Linked DNA regions of Alligator mississippiensis. The protein of the gene in region 3 purifies or fractionates together with the protein of the main gene of each other region. This does not show direct contact. Links are inferred from orthologs where the notes say so. Each region holds a gene or a part of one and is shown on either strand. Other genes may lie near its edges. The genes, in order: PDRG1, PFDN1 and PFDN4.

What was found.
Region 1: the proteins of PFDN4 (region 3) and PDRG1 purify together in Homo sapiens (co-immunoprecipitation; 3 studies listed by BioGRID and IntAct, counting the BioPlex papers as one, with this or other methods). This does not show direct contact. The link is inferred for Alligator mississippiensis from reciprocal best matches to the Homo sapiens genes PFDN4 and PDRG1.
Region 2: the proteins of PFDN4 (region 3) and PFDN1 purify together in Homo sapiens (affinity purification with mass spectrometry; 5 studies listed by BioGRID and IntAct, counting the BioPlex papers as one, with this or other methods). This does not show direct contact. The link is inferred for Alligator mississippiensis from reciprocal best matches to the Homo sapiens genes PFDN4 and PFDN1.

The regions. Positions count from the first base shown.
Region 1 is NC_081832.1:1,555,299-1,562,545, forward strand, and holds the start of PDRG1 (p53 and DNA damage-regulated protein 1), read left to right. Parts: upstream 1-4,207; 5' UTR 4,208-4,238; coding exon 4,239-4,322; intron 4,323-4,413; coding exon 4,414-4,489; intron 4,490-5,722; coding exon 5,723-5,797; intron 5,798-6,993; coding exon 6,994-7,074; intron 7,075-7,247. Other genes in the region: XKR7 (XK-related protein 7), read right to left, coding at 3,711-3,877. UniProt on the Homo sapiens protein: May play a role in chaperone-mediated protein folding.
Region 2 is NC_081832.1:43,034,973-43,042,592, reverse strand, and holds the start of PFDN1 (prefoldin subunit 1), read right to left. Parts: upstream 3,046-7,620; 5' UTR 2,973-3,045; coding exon 2,940-2,972; intron 2,611-2,939; coding exon 2,444-2,610; intron 1-2,443. UniProt on the Homo sapiens protein: Binds specifically to cytosolic chaperonin (c-CPN) and transfers target proteins to it. Binds to nascent polypeptide chain and promotes folding in an environment in which there are many competing pathways for nonnative proteins.
Region 3 is NC_081832.1:10,888,847-10,896,697, forward strand, and holds the start of PFDN4 (prefoldin subunit 4), read right to left. Parts: upstream 3,057-7,851; 5' UTR 2,976-3,056; coding exon 2,952-2,975; intron 2,700-2,951; coding exon 2,592-2,699; intron 354-2,591; coding exon 210-353; intron 1-209. UniProt on the Homo sapiens protein: Binds specifically to cytosolic chaperonin (c-CPN) and transfers target proteins to it. Binds to nascent polypeptide chain and promotes folding in an environment in which there are many competing pathways for nonnative proteins.

The DNA.
Region 1 (7,247 bases), about 9.3 Mb from region 3:
CCTCCTGGCTGGTAACACCAACACACCAGAAATGCCCCCTCCCGGCCCGGTACGCTCTGCAGCCAAGGACTCCTTGGCCTATTTCGAAACCTTGACCTTCTACCTTAAAATGCCATCATCAGTCTCATCAGTCACCACCGCCGCCTCTTTTCCTGCCATGGCTTTACTCCTAACTGTACTCTGAAGACTGCCCTCTCCGCTCCTGTCTTGAGGGTTTCTACCTTGGGGCACCGCTTGTGAAGAACCTTGTCAAAAGGGTCTGAAAAATCCTGGTCGATTGTATCTGCCCTCTTCCCCTCCCGCCATTATTTTAATAGCTTGGCCAAAGCTTCCCAGTGGGTCAGAGTATCAGGGTCTACCCTTAAGCCTGCCCGAGTTTGCCGGTACAGTTAGGACGAGGCTCCCAGCTCTTCAGTTCTCAGTGGCTCCTCTTTGGTAGCCGGACCCGGGGAATGCCTGCGTTCAGGACTAGAAGGGACCTGCTAGGAAATCCCAGATGGGGCCCCTGCACATGCTGGCAGCCAGCTGTGCATCCACAACATCCACTCCAGGCCCTTTCCCACACTGTAGATCTGGGGCAGCCCCTGCCCCAAAACCCCACTGCGGGCACAGGATGGGAGCGGGACACACAACGGGAGCACCGAGACCTTTGCCATGGCAGTGGCAGGCCATTTCTTGGACAAGATATGTTCAAATAGACCTAGACAGCTGACCATGCCCCATGCTAGAGGCAGGCACAACCCCCGCGGTCCTTGCACCTGGGAGGTCTCTCAATACCTCCGGGGCCACCAGCACCCCATCTCCCACCTCTCCAATGTCCAGGGCTTAAAGCTGAGAGGGGCAAGCTCTTCCTTGCTCCTTCAGGTGACCAGCAGAAGCCCTGAAGCCTGAGGCTACGACCCACCAGTCTCCTCTCACAAAGCAGGCTCTCCATTCCTCCAGCCGCCCTGGCAGCCCTGCTCTTCACCCGACACAGTTTCAGCTCATCTCTTTTGGGCCAGTACGGCGCACGCAATGACACGGTGAGGGATCGGTCCCCGATCCTCAGCCACAGCTGAGCAATCTCACGTTACAGCTCCTTCAGTACTCTCGTGCGAACGCCATCTGGTCCTAGAGATTCGTTGCACTCAAGTTATTTGAGCTGTTCCATAATCTCTTCCTCGGAGACTTCTTGCTCTGTTAATGCCGTACCGTGATTTCCTGTAAAGAATGCTCTGGGGATAGGAATTTCCTCATCATCTGCTTTAGCAAAGACTGCTGCAAGGAATTCATTTAGCTTTCCTCCAACAGCATCATCATCCCCTTTAATTCTCCTCATCCCCCCTCGGTGGTCTAGAGGCCTTACGGACACACAAGTGCTCACCCTCTGCTTTGCGCCCGTCCAGCAGTTTGTTCTCCCGGCCCTAGGAAACCTGGCACCGCGTGAGCGGATTCTGACGCTGCCGGTCACTTCCAACAGAGCAAAAAGAGTCTCTCACAAATCAATCAGGAACATTCATTCAGAGGCATATTCTTATGCATTTCTTAGGCAAAACCTTTTTAACTTCTGCAGCCCACAACCAAGCGCCAAGCCTATGTGTAGCTGCATCATCTTGAAGACTTCAGCAGCAGCTAAAGTAGTTCCTTAATGCCAAGAAGAGCCTTCAATATCTTAATGACAACCGCTCCGAGACTTGGCACAGACGGGTCTCCGAGAAGCCCTGATCCCTCACTTTTATTGCTTCTGTGCGTTAAACAGATGCTTCTTGTGAAGCGAGGGCTCCTGTTTAATTACATTAATGTAATTTACTCCATCACACATAGCAGAATTGCTGCTTCATCAAAACAGGTGCTGACTCACTTCCACAGGAACAGCTCCGTGTCTGGAGATGCCAAACCCTCAGCTGTCATTTTTGCAGCAAATAATCCATCACCGGGGATTCTGGCAACAAAAGGGGCATGCAGGCAATGGGCAGACAGATGGAAAAAGGGAAAAGGGTGCTTAATAGGCTTTACCCCAAGCAAATACCTGAGCCAGTGCTTAGCCTCCCATGCCAAGCAATACTTCTTTATACTGCCATTACGGATTTCAGAATGAGAGGCTTCCTTCCTCAACCGTCGTCTCTTTGGCCGTGAATTCTCTAGAAGGTATTGATTTTGCTTCCAGGGATTCTTGCCGTACAAGCGCGGCTCCCTCCCCGCACACGGGAACACCCCTGGCATGTGGCCTTTGAGCGGCCCCCAACAGAGATCGAAATATTCAGGTGCGAACACCTAGGCACAGTCGTCTGGTAGGCAAACGTTTCTACCAGTGGAAAAATACCACTAGAAAAAGCACCACGTCCGCACTCGGGGCTCGTGCCAAGGCTGCTCTGTTTGGCAGGGGGCACGGGCCTTTGTGCGCCTGACCGCCAGAGCTACAGCTCAGTGTGAGTCAACCGTGCAGGACAAGAAACCCCTACAGATGGACTGTACGGGGTGGTTTAGACAGGGACCACGGATGCTTATCCCATTACCCGGATTAGGTTTTGTGACCCCTTTGCTCCTGCGGGTTTACTGCCTGTTTGCTTCCCCCACCATTGCTCCACTTTCCCCGGCTTTGTCTTTGGTATTGCAATTTCTCTCTCCTTATATGCTGCTCTGGGCACGTCCTTTCGCTGCATCGGATGAAGCGAGCTGCAGCCCACGAGAGCTTGTGCCATGGATCTTGCGTCTAGATAGAGAGATCTAGCCACAGACATTGGTGCGTCTCCATGGGGAAACCGGGGGCAAATCTACACATATCAGTTCGTCTCCATGGGGCAACCCAGGGCAAATCTACATACATTGGTTAGTCTCCATGGGGCAAATCTATGCACATCAGTTCGTTTCCATGGGGCAAACTGGGGGCAAATCTACGCGCATCAGTTCATCTTCATGGGGCAAAATGGGGGCAAATCTACACACGTTGGTTCGTCTCCATGGGGCAAACCAGGGGCAAACCTACAGGTGTCAGTTTGTTTCCATGGGGCAAATTGGGGGTAAATCTATGTGCATCGGTTCGTCTCCATTGGGAAACCGGGGGCAAATCTACACATATCGGTTCGTCTCCGTGGGGAAACTGGGGGCAAATCTACACATATCAGTTCATCTCCATGGGGCAACCCAGGGCAAATCTACACACGTCAGTTTGTTTCCATGGGGCAAACTAGGGGCAAATCTACATACATTGGTTCATCTCCATGGGGCAAACCGGGGGCAAATCTATGCACATCAGTTTGTCTCCATGGGGCAAAATGGGGGTAAATCTATGTGCATCGGTTCGTCTCCATGGGGAAACCGGGGGCAAATCTACACATATCGGTTCGTCTCCGTGGGGAAACTGGGGGCAAATCTACACATATCAGTTCGTCTCCATGGGGCAAACCAGGGGCAAATCTACATACATTGGTTCATCTCCATGGGGTAAACCGGGGGCAAATCTATGCACATCAGTTCGTCTCCATGGGGCAAAATGGGGTCAAATCTACACACGTTGGTTCGTCTCCACGGGGCAAACCGGGGGCAAACCTACAGGTGTCAGTTTGTTTCCATGGGGCAAATTGGGGGCAAATCTATGCACATCAGTTCGTTTCCCTGGGGCAAACTGGGGGCAAACCTACAGAGGTGGGTTCGTCTCCACGAGGCAAACCTCCCCGGCCCCTGCTTGAGCGGAGCCTGGCGCGGCGGACTCCGTCTCGGCGCGGACGTACCTCCGAGCAGCGCCCGGGTCTGGGAGCACGGGGAGCCGGTCCGCGATCCCGCGAGGGCCGGACGGCGGGAGGACACGGGCTGTGCCAGCGTGGCGTGTGGCGGATCCAGACCCTGCCCACGGGGGGGTCACGGGTGGCTCCATGGCCGTCCCCCGTGCACCCGGCATCCCTGGGTGGCCACGTTGCGCCCCGTCCACCGCCCACGGGTGCAGCTCGGCCACGGGGCCTCACTGCTGCGGGGGGGCCGGGGGGGGCAGAAGAGGGGATTTACAGGCCCACGCGGGAAGTGGGAGGGGGGGTCTAGCAACACCCCCACGTGGCGCCCCACGCAGGACCAGGACACAGCCCCACGTGGCACCTGGGGGGGTAAGTACGCCCCCACGTGGGACACACGGGTCAGGTGGCACCTGGTGGGGGCGGGCCTTCCCAGCGCCGGGCCTGGGGCGCGGGGCCGCGTTTCCGGGAGGACGCACTTCCGGGCGGACCGGCGGCGCGCACTTCCGGGCGGGCGCACTTCCGGCGGGCGCCATGGCGCGGGAACCGGCGGCGGTGCTGCGCTGCGTGGCCGAGGTGGAGGTGCTGGCAGAGGAGACGCTGGCGGCGCGGCAGCAGGTACCGCCCCCACCCCGGCTAGGCCACGCCCCCTGGCCCGGGCCACGCCCCGCGCCCCGGGCCTCACCCCTCCCCCGCCCTCTGCCCGCAGATCGTGGACCTGGACGTCAAGCGGAACCGGAACCGCGAGGCGCTGCGTGCGCTGCACAAGGACCCGCACCCCGACGGTGAGCGCCGAGCCGGCAGCCGTCACGTCAAACGCTCAGTTCACCGGCAGCCGTTGCGTTAAACGCGTGTCGCCTGCCGCGGCTGTGTCGGTTCTCGGCCTCGGGAGAACGGCCCCGTGTTTTCCCGAGGGCAGGAACGAAGCGCGGCGACTCGGGGGCGGTGAGGGCTCGGGCGGCGCGAGCTGTCCAGGCGACGGCCGCCCTGGCGCGGGGAACGGAAGAGCGCGACGAGGCCGGGACTGCCCCAAACCGGGCTCCGGCAACCCCCGTTCTGTGACGTGTCGGGGGTCGAGGCGCTGGCGCCGCCCGCAGCCCCGGCTGCACCGTGCCGATGCTCCCGCTGACCTGCAGGTCCCGGCTGCCGGGTCTCGCCCCTCTGCGCCAGGCCGACCGACGCCGTATTTGGGGTCAGGAAGGCGTTTTACCCCGTGGTCCGACCGTCCCTTCCAGCCCGACTTCCCTGCAGTTTTTATGCGCAGAACAATTCACCGAAGCTTCGTTTGGCGAGGCAGAAGGACGCCAACGTTGACACGAACGCCCAAGTTAGGGTTGAGCTCGCAGGAAAGCAATACGCTTTTTAAATTTACAGAGGGTAAATGTGGAAGGATATGGTTTATATGAGAGGCAAGAATTTCTTAGGGTGATCTCTTGTATTGCACCAGCTGCGTCGCTGGGATAGAGTCAGACAAGCTTTCAAACGCAAGACGTTCTTCTTTGGGGCCGTGGTCGCAGCTCGTCTGGCTCTACCCCAGCCGTGCAGTTGAGCCGATAGAAAATATCGCCCTACAAAATCCTTGCCTCTTGCATGACCCCTGGACCATCGCCGCTACAACATCACTCGTACGCTCCCGTACTCATATTTTATAGTCATCTTCCAGGCGAGAACCGCACTTCAAAGTGGCAGGCAAAGCCTCCTCTCCACAGTAAATATTGCTTCATTTCTGAGTGGTGAAACAAAATAAAGCCCGCGCGCAGTCAGCGTTCATCTGTGCATGGGTGGATTGTTTGGTGACTAACTCACCCTTGCACGGGTCTTATGAGACTGAATCACATTTAATTGCCTGTAGACGCTCTCCTAAGTGATGCTGCAGACTGATGTTGAGCATCAAGGGGCCTTCAAAAATTAGCCCGTTTGTTGAATTTTGCATTTGGTGTGCACCTGGCAGGAGTGCGGGGAGGAGCGGTTTTCATTCGGAAAATGTTTATTTACAAAAGCTGCCTCTCTCTTTGTAGGTGACGCGATGGTCTGCTTTGGAAATATGTTTATTCAGCTTCCAAAATCAACGACCAAAGAAATGATGCAGAAAGGTAAGTTCACTGCCAGACTGACAACTTGCTTGTGATTTTGCAAGCTGCGTTCCCTTTCCTGCCTCTCCTTGGATACATACGTGGGGCGTCCCGTGTCGCAGGAGTGCTTGTATTCACTGGATTGACGGCTGGGCCACTTTGTCTTTTCCTACCTTGTAGTGGGTTGTACGCTGCTGCTGCTAAGAAAGACCCAGGCCTCCTTGTGAAGTGTCTTGGAAGCCTTTGCTGTGAGAAACCCAAATGGGATGTTAGACTCCATGAAGAATGGGTTGGGAAATAACCCTGAAAATATCTGAATGCCATTCAGGAAGTTGGTGGTACACACTCACCCAACTACTTTATGCTGCATTGGTCACTTCCTCGTAGAGGGAATACAGCAGAAGTAGAGGGGCTTCAGAAATGAGTATCAAGAGGACCTTTGCTGTCCTCTTGAGGTTGAGATACTTTGCCTTGGTAGAAAAGCTGAGTGATGAAAAGATACAAAACTATGAATGAATGGCCTCGAGAAGGTAGATCAGGAACTCGTATTCACTCCCTCTCACGATAGGAGGAACTAGGGGCATTCATTGAAACTGAAGGTTGGTTGGTTTGTTTTACAACGGCACAAAGGTAACCAGATGGAATTCCTCAGCCTGTGTTTTACGGAGGCCAGAGTGGGTAATGTAAGGGCCCCTCTGGCCTTAACACCTGTGAAAACAGGTGAGTATTTTGGTGGAGCACAGAAGCTTGGACTTCTAGGAGCTGCACGCTCATATACGCCTGCACAGGCATCTGTCCTCCCTCCCCTGTCCCCAGGAAGATAGTACCTGCCCCTCCAAACGTACGTTACTCGGAAGACCCAGCTGTTTGGCTTCCAGCCTGGAGATGGCACATCGTGTTCAAAGGTCATGCTGGCATTACAAATGGACTCATACCTCTGCCATCCAGTTCATTATACTTACTTGGAAAGGGGGAATCTGGCAAGCGCATTTTCTGGGAGAACCGGAACAGGGTTATGTTTCTTATGTACCAGTATGATGCAGCCAGCCTCCTGACCCCAAGAATTCACGGAGAAGGCAAGAGAAGAGGCTTCCCACTCTGTGCTGGAGGTTCAGATTGGAATAGATTTGCCAGAAGTAGCTGTGAATTTGGGGGGTGCTGGTTGCTCTCAAACGATATTCTAGAATGTTTCATTACTCCCGTCGCTGCTTTCTCAGATCAGGAGCACTTGGATGAGGAAATAAACACCCTTCGGAAAGAGCTGAGAGTGAAGGTCAACCATCTGTTTGAAGCGCAAGGTATTGTGACAGGGTCTGAAACCACGTTCAGTGTCCCAAAACCCAGGAGCGGAGTATATTCCTGGAACAGTGACACCTCTGTTCTCTTCAATGCAAAAGTCACGTATTGTCTAGCTTTTAGAGCACGTGGCTGTGACTACTGCACAGCTGCTTTGGCAGATTCCACTGCCCCT
Region 2 (7,620 bases), about 32 Mb from region 3:
GGCTGGACAGTTTCCCAGGTAAAGCTCCGCTTAAATCCCTATGTTAAGGACTCGGACAAAACTCTGACTCACACGAAGTTGTCGAGGCTCCGTGGAACTTTTTGCACGCAGGAAAGAGGGATACGTCGAGGATTGCGCTCGGCGATGGGGAGAAGAATCGATAGGTGATCAGTCTATCAATCAGCCAGCCGCAGGTCAAATCTCCGTAGAGGCACTCTGCAGCATGCTCGAAGTTCTCCAACTAGGGCAGAAACCACCCAAGCCTCTTATACGGCCAGCAAGCCAATTGCTAGCCGCCACGTGGGAATAATTTAGAACTGACCAATAGTGGGGCACGAATTTAAATACAAATGGCAGGAACTCCTTGCAACATGCATTTCTATGCTGCAAAGAAGAAATGCACCCTGCAAAGAAAGCTTCAAACGGCGGGAAAATAATTCAGCGGTGCCAAAGCACACACAAACAAAAAATCACACCCTTGGGTTGTGACACCTTCCAGCACTAAACTTCTGTGAATGCGATACATACCCAGCAGACAAGGTTTCTTGGGTGACTCTGATATCTTTTATTAGACCAACCCAAATAGTTGGAAAATAATTATTAAGCAAGCTTTCGGGTTCAAAAACCTTTCGTCAAGCTAAGGAAGTTTCAGCAGTTGGTATGCGCTCTTCCTGGATGGAAGAGCACACACTAACTGCTGAAACTTCCTTAGCCTGACGAAGGGTTTTTGAACCCGAAAGCTTGCTTAATAATTATTTTCCAACTATTTGGGTTGGTCTAATAAAAGATAATCAGAGTCACCCAAGAAACCTTGTCTGCCTATGTCCTTAGACCAACACGGCTACAACCTACACCCCTGTATACATACCCAGCTGCATTATCAACTCAAATCAGTTGGGGAATCTTTTATGAAGGTGGTGTGATCACAACAACAGAAGTACATTGTTAGAGTTTCATCAAAACATGCATTAGCTTAAATTAAGCTTTGTTGGTTTTGAAGTCATTCCAATATATAGAGATTATACTTTCCTTCTTTCCAACCCAGCACACCTGGGCAGATCATACATTCTGGCACAAACTGCACTCCATATATTCTTTCAAAAAATTCTAGAAAAATAAATCTTTCATATATATTAATTATCATGCTAATAAGCAGGATGCAATTTTATAGCTTTTGCAAAAATATAGGCCATGAATGCAAGGATTAGATTAACAATTGTGATTCCCTCCATATAGCATCAACATAAAGAACTTCACTAGAGTTGGACAGGCTTATATAAACTTCTCACAAATTTGTATTTTGCAATTAGTGTTCATGAGGTATTTACCAACTGTGCTGGTAGAGATTATAAATTTCATGAAACCCTAAATGCAATTGTGAACTTGCATGAGTGAAGCTGGCAAACAAAACTATGCAACTGCTTATTGAAATACGCTATTATACCCTTGAGACAGGCAAGTAACAAAAAATGGTATCTATTTTTTTTTAAATATACTGACTGATCCAAGGAAATTATGGTTCAGTAAATATTAGTCCAATACCATGAAGAGCGGAGCTTTTACAACCTTTGTAGACAAGCAAAGAAAAACGGTTCCTTTGCTGGGCTCCCATAACCTTACTTGCCATCTCCACACAATCATATGTGCACACAGACTTCAGAAAGGGAAAAATTGCTTTTTTCTTGGATTTGAGTATGGGGCTGGGCCAAAGCTTGAGCTGCTACTGCCCTGCTGTCAGGCTGGGGTAGCTTGTGCAACAGTGGAGTGGGTAAATGGTAAGCCTCAAGGTGTACAACCTGGAGGAGCATACAGGGGAGAACACTCAGCACCAGGGGTGCTGGTGGCTCCAGCCCTGACTCAGGCAAGGGGCCAGAGTTGCTACTGCCACCACTGGGCCAGGCCAGGGCCAGAGCCACTGTGTGCTCCATGTCCTGGGCCAGAACTGGAGCCAGAATCACCGCATAGGGGAAGTGGCAAGGAGACAAGTGCAGGTGGGTACGAAGCCTGTTATCCCTCCCCTTCCCAATTACTTTCCCTACCACCATTTGTCTCCTGACTGCTGCTTTTCCCTGCCACAGAAATGGAGGTGTGCATGTGTGGGGGATGGGGGGGGAAGAGGATTAAGATGATCCTCCCATAAAGAGAGTCTACATGGGGGGGGCAGAACTACAACAAATTTATAATTTTCCATGTACAGAATCAAAGTACTGAGGGGAGGGGTCATCTTAAATTCAAAGTTGTCTTGGATGTGGCTAAATAAAGCAGATAAGATCTGACAGAGAGCAACTAACATATGCATATTCCTGATTGTTCACTGTCACCTATGGAAAGAAGCAAGCCTAAAAGCAATCCAAGTCAAAAAAACAATAGGTTCCAGCAGGCTTGAAGGACAAGACCCTTTAACTCATGCCTAACTTCTTCATCTGCAAAAGAAGTTACTCACATTCTTCCTACACCTTCATACATGCGTGTCTCGTCCACCAGCGTCATAATCTCAGTGTCCGTGAGGTGCGCGTGCTTTTTTGTCCTGTTCAACTGTTCTATCTGCATATCTGCCAGCTTCACCTTCTGCTGAGTGTCAATGACCTTGGCCTGCAGCTCAGTAAAAGCCTAAGGGAGAAGCGCGGGAGAAGCAGTCAGGGCCGGGGGGAACAGGGCCAGGCTCTGCGCCGCAGCGGTTTCCTTTCCCCTCAGAAATCGCAGCGGCAGCCGCGAGCCCGCAGGCCAGGACCCAGCGCTGCTCCGACACCGGCCCGCGAGCCCAGGCCGCCCCCGCCCGCCTGCAGCGCTCCGCAGCCTCGCACAGGCTGCGCCAGGGGAGGGGAGGGGACAGAAGAGGACGGACGACTCCTGCCGGGGCGAGCGCCCCCTCGCAGGCAGCCTCCCCCACCATGGGCCAACCGGGAGGAGCAGGACGGACCCTGCCGCGGCGCCGCTACCTTCTTCAGCTCCAGGTCCACAGGCGCCGCCATATTGCCTGCGCCTGCGCGGTGCAGCCGCGTGTCTGGGGTCCGCGCGCCTGCGCAGTGAGGGTCGCTGAGCCCAAGTCTACTACAGCCTGTCCCCGGCCGAGAGAGGAGCAAGGCCGAGCTCCGCCCCCGCTCGGAGCTGGGCGGGGCCGCGTATCAGGTCCAGGAGCTGCTGGCGCAGCGCGGGCGTGAGGTGGAGGTTTTCGCCCATCAGCGCGGCCCCGGCCCCGGCCCCGGCCCCGGCTCTCTACTCACTCGCCAGGTGCGGGAGCGGCTGAGCGCCCCGCCCTGCACCTGCTCCCGCTGCTTTCTGCGGTGTGACTTAGCTACAGGCGACCTAGCAGTGACCTGGGCCTGCAGCGCTCTCCGCAGCAGCAGCCGCAGGGGTTAAGGCCAGATCCTGGCCTGCTTGCAGCTCGGGTCCTGCCCTGTGCACTGAAGCAGAGTCTTTCCTGGTGGCCATCAGCGTGGAGCCCCTGAAGCCCAAGGGCAGCGCTGCGTGTCCCCAAGGAGCCGAGCCTGTGCTCGCGCCCGGACCACTGCAGGATTGTTTCTGTGGTAGACCCAACCCTGGCTCGGTGCTGCTAACAGCGGTGGGATTCCTGGCAAATGAACAAATTGTGTAGTGTAGCAAGTAAGCAGACAATAAAACAGAGGATGTTTGTGCACTCTGGACTGTGGACTTAGAAAATATGCAATTGCTTATTGAAATACGCTGCTATACCCTTGAGACAGGCAAGTAACAAAAATAGTATCTATTTTTTAAAAAGATATGGACTGATCCAAGGAAATTATGGTTCAGTAAATATTAGTCCAATACCAGGAAGAGCAGGGCTTTTAGAACCCTTGTAGATAAGCAAAGAAAAACCCTTCCTTTGCTCCCATAGCCTTACTTGCCATCTCCACACAATCATACGTGCACACAGACATCAGAAAGAGAAAAATTGCTTTTTTCTTGGATTTGAGTATGGGGCCGGGCCAAAGCTTGAGCTGCTACTGTCCATGCGCTGTGGACTTAGAAAATATGCAATTGCTTATTGAAATATGCTGTTATACCCTTGAGACAGGCGAGTAACAAAAATGGTATCTATTTCTGGGTATGTATCACGTTCATCAACCAACCAGGGCCCAGAAGTGGTATCATATGATTGTACATGTAATTATTAATGAGTGTATTATGCCATACATGTGTAGGGTTGTATCAGCCAATGTGAAGATTAGATCGCTGCCTGAGGAGCAGAAAGTCCAAGGGGTTATTATTTCTGCTCCCATTGAAGTCAGCGTGAGTTTTACGGTTGGCATCAAAGGGACCATTTTCTGCCTTAGACAAACCAGAAATGTCTTAAATGACAGAGTGGGTAAATCAAAAGGAACGAAAAAGCCTTTGCTGAGGGAAATGAATTTGATAAGAAATTCAGATCCACTCGCTAGTGACCAATATGCCGGGGTTTTGTGTTTTAATTCTCTTTGGAAGTTTGAACATGGTTCTGTGTCCCATAGAATGAGACAAAAGTGAAGGATCATGCGGTCACAGAGGACTTGTAGTCACAGAGAGCAGGTGAGATATAGGGGCCAGTTTGGTACAGTTTGTTTCACATTCGTGAGTGGGGTGGTGCAGTGCTTTGGGTATGTAGGCTAAACCAGAATGGTTCTGAGCTCTAGTGACTTTCCTTGAATTTACTGGAAGCAGTGGTTAGTACTGATCCATCCGTGTACCTAGGTTCTCATATGTCAAACAAGGGAAGGCATGAAGCCCACGTAGTGCACTTTCCATTTGTGTAGTACTACAGCACTGGGAAAAATGTAATCCTGACCAGGCAGTGATTGTCACACCCTGAAACATGAGCACTAACAGTTGTAATTTTAACATAACATAATTGCAAATATTATTTGCATACAGTATTCCTTTTTACATGGGAAATTTACTGAGCTACTTGTACCAATGAGTTCCATAGGTTAATGTGATGTTTCATTAAAGAAGTATTTGCCTTAACTTAAAATTTGTTGCTATTTGGCTTCATTGAAAAGAGCTCCAACTGATGCTGGTTGCCAGCAAATGCTTCCTATTTTTAAAAAGCAGGGCAGTCTTGGTCCAGTTCCCTGTGGACAGGTGTCCATCTCAAAGAAACTATCACTACCCCACATAAAAAACGTTAATTTTACTGGCAATCTCTGAATAGAGCCAGGAATTGAATAAATCACAGGGATTACACACTGTGCAGTCTCTCCAGCTCAGGGCTGAGATACATTGGCACCATTGAGTGGGAGAGTTTGTCCTGTGCTGCTTTACTCACCCTTTTTTGTGTGTAAGCAGCCTGCTTTGTTCATAACCTAGCACAGGGGTCCTCAACCTCCAGCCTGTGGGGCAAATCTGGCCCATGGAGCCATGACATCCAACCCATGGGGCTCTCATGGGTTGGAAAACTTGGCAGTGGGGAGCAGTGGAAGCTTCACACACCGGGTTCCAGCCTTGCTTGGCCATTGCAGCAAAGCGGGGACAGGACTGGGATGGCCCCCTGTACATCCAAATTGACCCAGGCTGCTCCCTCCCACCCACCCACCCACATGTCCAGTTTGGGACTGCTAGGCTGTGCTCCACAACATGTCCAATCAGAGCCAGGTTTCTGCCCTTCTCCCTACCCCACCAACATCTGGACTGGGACCAAGCTGCTCACCAGCCCCCACCCCAACCCCCACCCCCCTGCAAGCCCAGATTACTTCTCTACCTTCAGGGCTGCTCTGTCCCCCCCTGCATATCCAGACAGGGGCTGCTCTGCACTGCCTTTGCCCTGTGTGGATGGATCAGGGTCAGGATGCACAACCCCTACAGTCAGATCAGGCCCACCAGGCAGATCCAGCCCATGGAAGGACTTGGCACTGCCCATCTGGCCCGTGGCATGAAAAGATTGAACACCACTGGTTTAGCACTTTTCCCCTTCAGTAAAGCTGCAAAAACTAGGGATTTTAAAAACCTGCCAATGAAGAACAGCCATTTCCTTCATAGCCTTCCCTTGGCACCAGTACACTACAGAATTCTGCAGTGATGGGCCAAAATGATCTTATAAAACAGTATAATTGCAGTACGTGTGGTGCTTACTGGAGGTTACTGGGGTATGTCACCTCGAGCTCAGTGGGGAACTAAGCTAAGGAAGCAAATTTAAGGGCTCGCGTGGCAAGGTAGAGTGACAGTGTCCTGAAATCAACCCCAAGTCAGCCACTAGAAACTGACTAAAGGTGATAATGCAACACAAAGAATCCTATAAAACAGCTCCTTTGTTCTGAGGAACAGATCTGCTTTGTTTAAATGCTGTGAACTACAAAATTGCTTTTTCATGCAGGATGGTAACCAGGTAAAATACTCCCCAAAATATGCAGAGTGAGGAAGTGAGTTATAGCTGACAAATGCCAACAAGGCTGCTCCTAGCTGGAATGCTGGTACTTTATAAGCAAATCAACATTTCAAAAGACTTAATATTTGTATCTGCTGATCTGTAGCTGTGTAACAGACACAGGGCAGAATGGCATGTGAATGTGGGCTGTTTGTCTGATTACTCACCAGGAAAAGTGAGGGCAACCAGCCAGACCCACAGAAAAGATCCCTAAGACCAAAAGAATGCAGTTCAAAAAGGAACAGTTCAAAAAGTAGTAACAGGAGCTAAAAACAGAGCCAGACTGATGATTATTAATAATACTTTGCAGTTATACAAGGCCTGTCATCCAGACACAGAAGTGCTTTACAAAGGAGGACAGAGTCATTTCAGCCTTTACTGAAATGTAGCCATTTTTGCAGAGAAAAGTTGGAGCTGTTAACACTGCATAGCAGCAATTTATGGTCAGGAAGAATATGAAGTCCAATTGAAATTCCAGAAAGAATCTTAAGAGGCATTGTCAGAACTGCATATGTTGTATTTCAATGAGGAAGGTAGTGTTATTACTCCTAGAATGGTAAAAAAGGACAAAGAGATCTTTAATTACCAGTGGTTAGGGTTTCAGGTTAATGTCTTATCCAAAAGATGGTTGTTTCCAACTGCATGGTAACCCCTAGCACTATAATGGATTTAACACTGACTCAGAGGAAAGAGTGCCTGGTAATGAATCACATCATTTCCTATAGTACCAGAGTTTTCCTTGGAGCTCTCCCATCAAAGTATTAACCAAATACTTAACTTGTTAGACTTGATGTGATCATAATAAGGTTGTCACGGACTTTGAGACAAAGAAGCTAAAATTAAAATACCCCTAGTTCTGATTTGTAACTTGAACCAGTGGTGACTAGTGGTTAGCGAGAACAATTGGGACATCTCTATTTAAAAAGAGATCAAAGCAGGATCTTAGAAGTCAGACCTTCAAAACAATTCCCCAATACTGGAGTCACTGATCATGAACTGAGCATATCCTAGGTATGAATTGCTTAGAATCTGTCAGTAAGATTTACAAAAAAAGATCAGGCTTCATGCTGTGCTTGGTGTAAGAATAATTACAGTTCAGAGAAGAATTAGAGGAAAATTAAAACTGTCTGTATAAAAGGTGTAGTCCAGGCTAAACTGCCAAAGTAACCAGGTTTAAACACGGACATAATTCAGCTATGTTATAATGGGGGAGGGGGGTTGTCTACACAAGGAAGAGCACTAGATGCTATGACCCTGGCAAA
Region 3 (7,851 bases):
CGTAGAGGAAGATTCTACTGCCGCTGCTCATGTTGCCCTTGTGCCAAATTTAACCAGTTTCAGACTAGGACAGATCCTGCACCCTGTCACAGCAAGGGTATGCAGAAAGAGAAACCTGCTCATGACACTCCATCCATTCTCCAGGAATACTGATCTCTATTTCTTACTGTAGCATCAAGACGACACAAAACTCCCTCTCCCTCACAAACCTTTGCTTCTTCCAACATCTCTTGTGTCTCCTCTTGGGAATGGCTGATGAAGACATCTCCAATCTGATACGGTATCAGGAGTGAATCATCATCATCGAGCATCATAGTGTCATCACATGCATCCTCCAAATTGTGAAGTTGTTTCTATAGTCAAGACACAGTAAGAAAGCTGTTGCTTTTTCCCCATCAGTTATTACAAAATACATAAATAAATAAATAAATAAATAAATGGATTAACAAGCTAGTTGAGCTTTGCAATACACTCTTTACAAATATGTTTAACTTTAGTATCATATTAACACTGTAACCCCATTAGTTTCAATGGAATTGCACTAGCGCAAATCTACACAAGATACTCAATATCTTTCTATGGTAATCTATTTCCTAGACATAGGAAACACTGGAATTTCAAACTCCCTGAACACAGTGTCACACAGGAAACGATGAGTTAAACTGGAGAAGTTGGGGTTTGGTGCAAGAATCATAAAGTGTGTTATGAGCTGGCTAAATGAGTGACAGTTTCATCAAAGTAAGACCTACCAGACTGGAAGAAAGCTTTTGAGTCAAGTTTTTCAACTACTGATTTTAGTATTATTGAGCTTGATTCTATGTATTCAACATGGGTTCATCAAAGGCAGGTCCTGCCAGACCAACCTGACGGCCTTTTATGACCAGGTAATTAAATCCCTGGATGATGGTGTTCCCGTGGACGTAGTCTTTCCGAATTTTAAGAAGGCCTTTGACACTGTCTCTCACCCCATTCTCATTAATAAATTGAGTGACTGTGGCATTGATGCCTACACAGCTGGATGGATCAAAAATTGGCTGATGGGGCACACCCAGAGAGTGGTAGTGGATGGGTCGTACTTGACCTGGCGAGATGTGAATAGTGGGGCCTCCCAGGGCTCGGTCCTGGGGCCCACACTGTTCAACATCTTCATCAGCGACTTGGACGAGGGGGTGGAAAACACGTTGTCCAAGTTTGCCGATGACACCAAGATGTGGAGAGAGGTAGGCACACTCAAAGGGAGAGAGGCTGCAATTAGATTTAGACAGACTACAGAAGTGGGTGGATGATAATAGGATGGAGTTCAATGAATGCAGGGTGCTGCACCTGGGGAGAAGCAATCCACAGCATACATACAAGCTGGGAAGCTCCCCCCTTGTGAGCAGAGGCAGAAAGGGATCTTGGAGTCATTATTGACTCCAAGATGAACTTGAGCCGCCAATGCCAGACCGCAGCCAGCAAAGCCAACCGCACCTTGTCGTGCATCCAAAGGTGCATCTCAAGCTGGTCCAGAGAGGTGATACTCCCCCTCTACATGACATTGGTCCGGCCTCAATTGGAGTACTGCGTCCAGTTCTGGGCACCGCACTTTAAGAAGGATGTGGCCTGCCTTGGGAGGGTTCAGAAAAGGGCCACCTGCTTGGTTGGAAGGCAACAGGGCAGGCCCTATGAGGAGAGGCTCAGGGACCTGAACCTGTTCAGCCTCAGCAAGAGGAGGCTGAGGGGGGACCTGACGGCTGCCTACAAACTCATCAGGGGAGATCAAGAGCAAATAGGAAAGGCCCTATTCCCCCCAGCACCACCTGGGATGACGAGGAACAATGGCCAGAAGCTGCTGGAGAATAGGTTCAGGTTAGAGATCAGGAGGCAATATTTCACTGTTACGGTGGCTAGGATCTGGAACCAACTTCCCAGGGAAGTGGTCCTCGCTCCTACCTTGGGCGAGTTCAAAAAGAAGTTGGACGAACACCTGCCTGGGGTCGTGTAAGCCCAGCGTGTGCTCCTGCTGGGGGGGGGGGGGTGTTAGAATAGATGATCTGTTCAGGTCCCTTCTGACCCCTAACTCCTGTGAAACTATTAATTTGTATAACAAACAAGGGTTCTGCTAGTCAAATCTACGCATAATGTAGTTGGGAGGCACTGCCAATACACTTTTTTAATTTTAAAAGAGCGTCAAGGAGGAAAATGTGTAACACTTCTGGATAGCCCAGAGACTGACTGGTGTTAGCATCCCTGAAATGAGGGGCAGCCTGTGCAATACCAACGCAGAATTAGTATTTCAAATCTGGGACGACAGCGACACCGAGAGACGTGAAACAGATACCGTCTCAGAAAACACAGGGTAGTAAGTAAACTTAAACAAGCGTATTTTCCTCTAGCATTGGAGAGGTGTCGTCGTAGCTGCGATGGTCCAGGATCTGCGTAGGCGATACTTTTATCGCAATACCCGCACAGTATTTTAAGATGGCACGAAGTCAACTTTAACGCCCAATGCAGAAGCAACGTCCTTTTGCTTTCCCGTACCCGCGACTCCAGACCCCGACCCCAACCCCAAACCTAAACGTCTCCGCCACGTGTGCTGTGGAGCCGCGTACCTTTTTCACTTCTATTTCTTCTTTCAGCTCCGTGATCCTGCTGGTATTTCGGGCAAATTTGTTAATTTTCTGTTGATCTTCGAAGGTCACGTTGACATCCTCCGCAGCCTGCTCAGGGAGAGAGGGCGAAGCTACAGCTGCGGGGCTGTACAGTGTGCGACCCCTGCCCGGGTCGCCCCGGCAGCCCCACGCGCCGCCCCGGGGCCGCTCAGCAACCCCGCCTCCCCCCGCCCGCAGCCCCGTGTCGGACCCGGGCCCCCCGGGGACAACGGCTGCGGCGGCGCTCGCACACTGCGCACCTCGCAGGAAACCGCCGCGTTCCTCCCGCCCGCCCGGACGCCCGGAGGAGGCCTCACTCACCGCCTTCTTCATGGTGGCAGCCATCTTAGGGCGGGGCCACCCGCCCGCGGGGTGGGGCACCGGCGCCTCCCGCCCCTTTAATGCACCCCCCCCACACGCACTCTTAGGGGGAATGGAAGCGGCGCGGCGGGGATGCGCTCATTGGGCCGCGCCGGTGGTACAGTCCGCTTAAAGGGGATGTCTTGAGGAGAAGGATCCGTCGGCAGAAAAGGGAGCAGCCGCTAGGGGGCGGGATGAGCCCGGGAGTGCGGGCGGCGGCGGCGGCGGCTCCTGGCGGGGCTCGCAGCGCTGCTTATGCGGTTTGCATTTCATTATGCAGTTTAAAACGTTATATATATCTATAGACCTATATCTATATAATGTTTTAAACTGTATAATGAAATGTATAATGTTTTGAATCTATATACATATATGGAGATGTGTGTGTGCATTATATATATATATATATATATATATGCACACTCACACACATTATGTCTTGGATATATATACATATGTATATGTGTGTGTGTATATATATATATGTATTAATCTTATCATTTATACTGAGCCCTATTGAATCCCACAGTGTGCCTTGGCCCCAGCAGTCAACCCTGGGAAATGGGCACAGGGGATGAAAGGATTTGGCCCCAAGCGCCCTAGGGAGTCAGTGGCAGAGGCTGGGACCAGCCCAGGATTTCTCTGCAAGACCCCCTGAAGCTTTTTGGTGAAGGAAGTTTGGGGTGGGGGAGAGTTACACTTCCCCAAATCCTTCCCCAAGAGCAACTAATACGTATTTCCTTCAAACAGAGGGATGGGCTCTTGGGGAAATCCTGGCGGCTGGCATGTCTGCGGCTGGCATTTCCCCAGCGCAGCAGCCTGCTTATTTATGTGACAGCTTGGGCAAGTCGGATGGTTTCACAACGGCGCTGCAGGAAGAGGCCTGGCCTCCCCGAGCCCTTGGCACTTGGTTTCAGTAATTCCTGGTCTCCAGATCCCCCCCGCCCCGAGGAGCAGAGCTGGTGCATGGAGCCTGCCAAGACTCGGAGACATTTGATGGAGAGATGGCAAACTGCTTGCCTACTATTCATAACAGATCCTGTGTGAATGCAGCTGTGTGGTCCGCCTTCGTCCTCAGGGAACCTCACTTGACGAAAAGGTTTTTGCAAAATTGGTTGTCAACACAGAATAGCCAGAGCAAGGCTTGCCTGAGGTCAGGATACTCCACTCCTCGCCAAGCCTTGCAAACCACCAAGCATCTCCTGGCAGTAAATCCTCAGCTCCCACTGATGTCCAAGGAATACAGTAAATACTCCAATATTAAATGGAGCCATTTCCTAGAAATGTACTGCTTGTGACAATAATGTCTCTATAGTTGGCTTTCCAGAAGCTATGCTAACAAGCCAGCAGCGTGAACCATAGCAATTATATTATACTACATGCTATGGCATTTTAACTTTCTTTCCTCTGCCAGGCACTAATGTTAATGGGCATAGAAAGTACTTAAGAGATAGATCCAAAACATTATCTAAAAGTTAGGGACTACCATGTGTCACACTTGTGGGTGCCTCGTTTGCAGAATGAGATCCAGAACTGTGTTAAACACCTTGGGTGTTTTTACGCGTGCAGCATCTCATGTACCAGCATCCCCATGCTTCAACATGGCAGGGACACTACAGCTTGTCGAGCTGTTGAAGCGAGCAAACACTGATACACAAGATATGAAGGCTGCTGGAGACACACTAATTACTGCTTTCCAGCAGACTTCAGTCTTCCTGCACTTCTACAGGCACCCGTTGGTTACAATGCACTGAGAAAGCGAGGTGTCCCAGCCTGGGATCCGAATCAAGCAACATGACGAGCAGGGAGCTACATAAAGTCAGCATGCTCTGGGTGCAGATATGCAACACAATTACTATTCATACTATACATACTTTATCCTAATAAGGAGGTATGGTAATAAGGTAAAGTAATAAGGAGTAGACATGCAACAAGCTCCCTTAAGCTAGCTGCTTACTGTTACAGCACCTGAATGCTAGGTGTGGAGAACTGCTTTGCAGCAACCAAGCAACTAATCTGGGATTACATTGAGTAAAGAAGCAGACACATGACAATATTGCTTCCTGGTAATTTACCCCAGAGTGAAGTAGCTTACACCACGGAAGGCTGCATGTCATGTCCTCTCCACTTTCATTATACCCTTCTTTGAAAAGCCAAGCAGTGGTTGCTCCTGCCTTTCCAAACCCAGGCAGAGGAGGTCCAAGAGCTGCCCACCCCCATTTTCCATATTGCTCTGGTGATTAGAACACCTGGAAACCTAAGTTTCATGGTTGTTAGGGGCTGGAAGGGACCTTACAGATCCTCGGGTCCAGCTGCCCTGCACTCAGGCAGGAAAGACGGCTGGGGGCAGATGACCCCAGCAAGATGGGGTTCAAGACGTGTTTTGAAGATCGCCAGGGTGGATCTGTACCACCTCTGGGGGAAGCCTGTTCCAAACCCTCGGTATTCGACTTGTAAAGAAGTTTTTCCTTATGTCTAGCCTGAAGCAATCTTCAATTGGTTTGTGCCCATTATTTCTCGTCCTCCCCTGGGGGGCCTTAGTGAACAGATGCTCCCCCAAGCCCTGATGAATGCCTCTGTTATACTTATAGGCTACCACCGAGTCCCCTCTGTGTCTTCTCTTCTCCAGGCTGCGCAGTCCAGGTTGTACCGATTTCTCTCCAGCTCATTTCCATCCTCTGCATGAGAGGATTCAAACCTACATCTCACCTCCCTAGAGACTGTTCAAATCATACATAACGGTATGTCTTCTACCTGATAACAGTTTAATGTAAAACACTGACAACTTCCTTGGAATGGGATCCTTTGTGCTTCTGAGTCCTACCTCCATACATCAGCCCCAAAAATCATGCTGACTTCACAAAAGGGTCATTAAAAGATGAATCCAGTTAACAGGAGATGTACACTGTGAACAACAGATAAAAGACTGAAAATGCTTTAAAGGTCAGAGAGGCGAGGGGGCAGCTCCCAGAAGTTGTTCTATTCTAATGTGCAGTTAGGATACATTAATTTTGGACGAGCTGAAAATATGAGTCTACTCAAGAGCTAGTAGATGGGTCTTGGTGACCTCAACCCTCCTCTGCAGCTTCTGACTGGTGATGGGTGGGTGGGGAGGAGAGACAATACAGCCGTCAGACCAAAGGAGTCAATGAGTTTGTCTAATTATGTGTGGGTTTGGCACTCACTCCTCACAAATCCTAAAAGTCGGAGATGTTGAAATGTTGTTTGTTCTGGAATACCATGGAAATATATCAAGCAAACGTTTTTTTCTCCAAAACCCCTGATTCATCTGAATGAAACTGTTGCCTAGAAAATGAGTGATTTCAACACATCTCTTGTCTCCAAAACAGTTTGGGAGGGGGACTGTTAAAACTATTGAAAAAAAATATTTTAATGTTCTGATAATTCTGGGGAGGCTAATTATTTGAAAATTGAAGAATATTTGTAATAATAAGGAAAGAAAAAAATAAACCAAAACATTGAAGTGACCCAAACTGAAAAAAAATGGATTATTTTTCCTTTTTTTTCAGACCAAACAATTTGTGAGATTTTTAACTTTTTGTCATAATCGGAGATAAGGAAAAGATGTCAGAATCTCAACAATTTGCAGGATGGGAAAACTGTTTCTGCCCATCTGTGGGATCTGCTCCCTCCCCTCACTGTTGCAGTAGGCAGTGACCCTCCTGGCTCTAGGTGCTCAACAAGGGGAATTTCGTGGGGGTGCCTAAATTATCTTTTCCCCTCCAAAGACTTTTAAGTGAAAGGATATGATTTGGGCCATGGTCATTTCTACAGGTGCATTAGCTTAATAATACAAGTTTTGTCTGAGCCAGTTTAACTTTCTTCAAGGGAAAAGGAGTGGATTTCGTAAGAATGAGATGGCTTTGAATAAAAGCTTCTTCTCTCACATGCTCAGGCAGGATTTGTGGTATGCTTGTGTTGCTAAGAGTAACTTTCTGTAGTTCTCACTTATGTAAATAAAAGTGAAATCTGTGTGAAAGGGTTTCCAGTGGTTGGAGAAAATAAACTCCCTGAACTCACTCACCTCATTTTTCTTCCAGTTGCATAATGGGACTTGCTCTTTCTTGTACTATTGTTTCATTGTTGTTGTAAATGTGGTTAGCTTCACCTTGTGCGTGGTGGGACCCATTCTATCAATCTGCCCTTTAGTATTTGTTACTAGACTTCCCTTTAGCTCATATTTCCTTACTACTTCTTTGGACAATTCCCTTTTCTCATTTGTTGATGTCTTTGGCAACACAACTCAATGGGAGAAGAGAATTAATTCTAAGTCTTTGCTTAAGAATAAAAGGATGGTTTTGGACTTCCAATTTTGGACTTCAGGTGTTGGGCTTCAAACTCACATAATAGCAGAGTACCTTAAAACAAGGTTTATTAAAATCAGAGAGGAAATGGCATTTAAAATACACTTTACTGTATTTTGATAGTCTTGGGGCCTTGTCAGCATTGCAGGGCAGCAGCTGGCATGAGCACGCTGACTTATCAGAGCCTTCTACTGGCAATGTGGCATGTGGTGGCAGAAGGAATTTTTCTGCCATTTTAACTAATCTACTGCCCCAAACAGTAGATGCTCTTTTCTGCACCCAGATTTTGGGATGGGAAGTGTGTGTGTGTGTGTGTGTGTGTGTGTGTGTGTGTGTGTGTGTGTGTGTGTGTGTGTGTGTGTTGGGGGGGAGGGGTTGTTCATACAGCTACATCAGCTGGAAGACATGATCATGTCACACCCTTACCCAACATGGCAAAACTGTAACATAGATAAAGCTTTACACTTCTCATAAATTAAACTAGATGAAGCATTGTTAGCATAGGCCTTTATATACTGAAGCTGCTCTGCTTTATT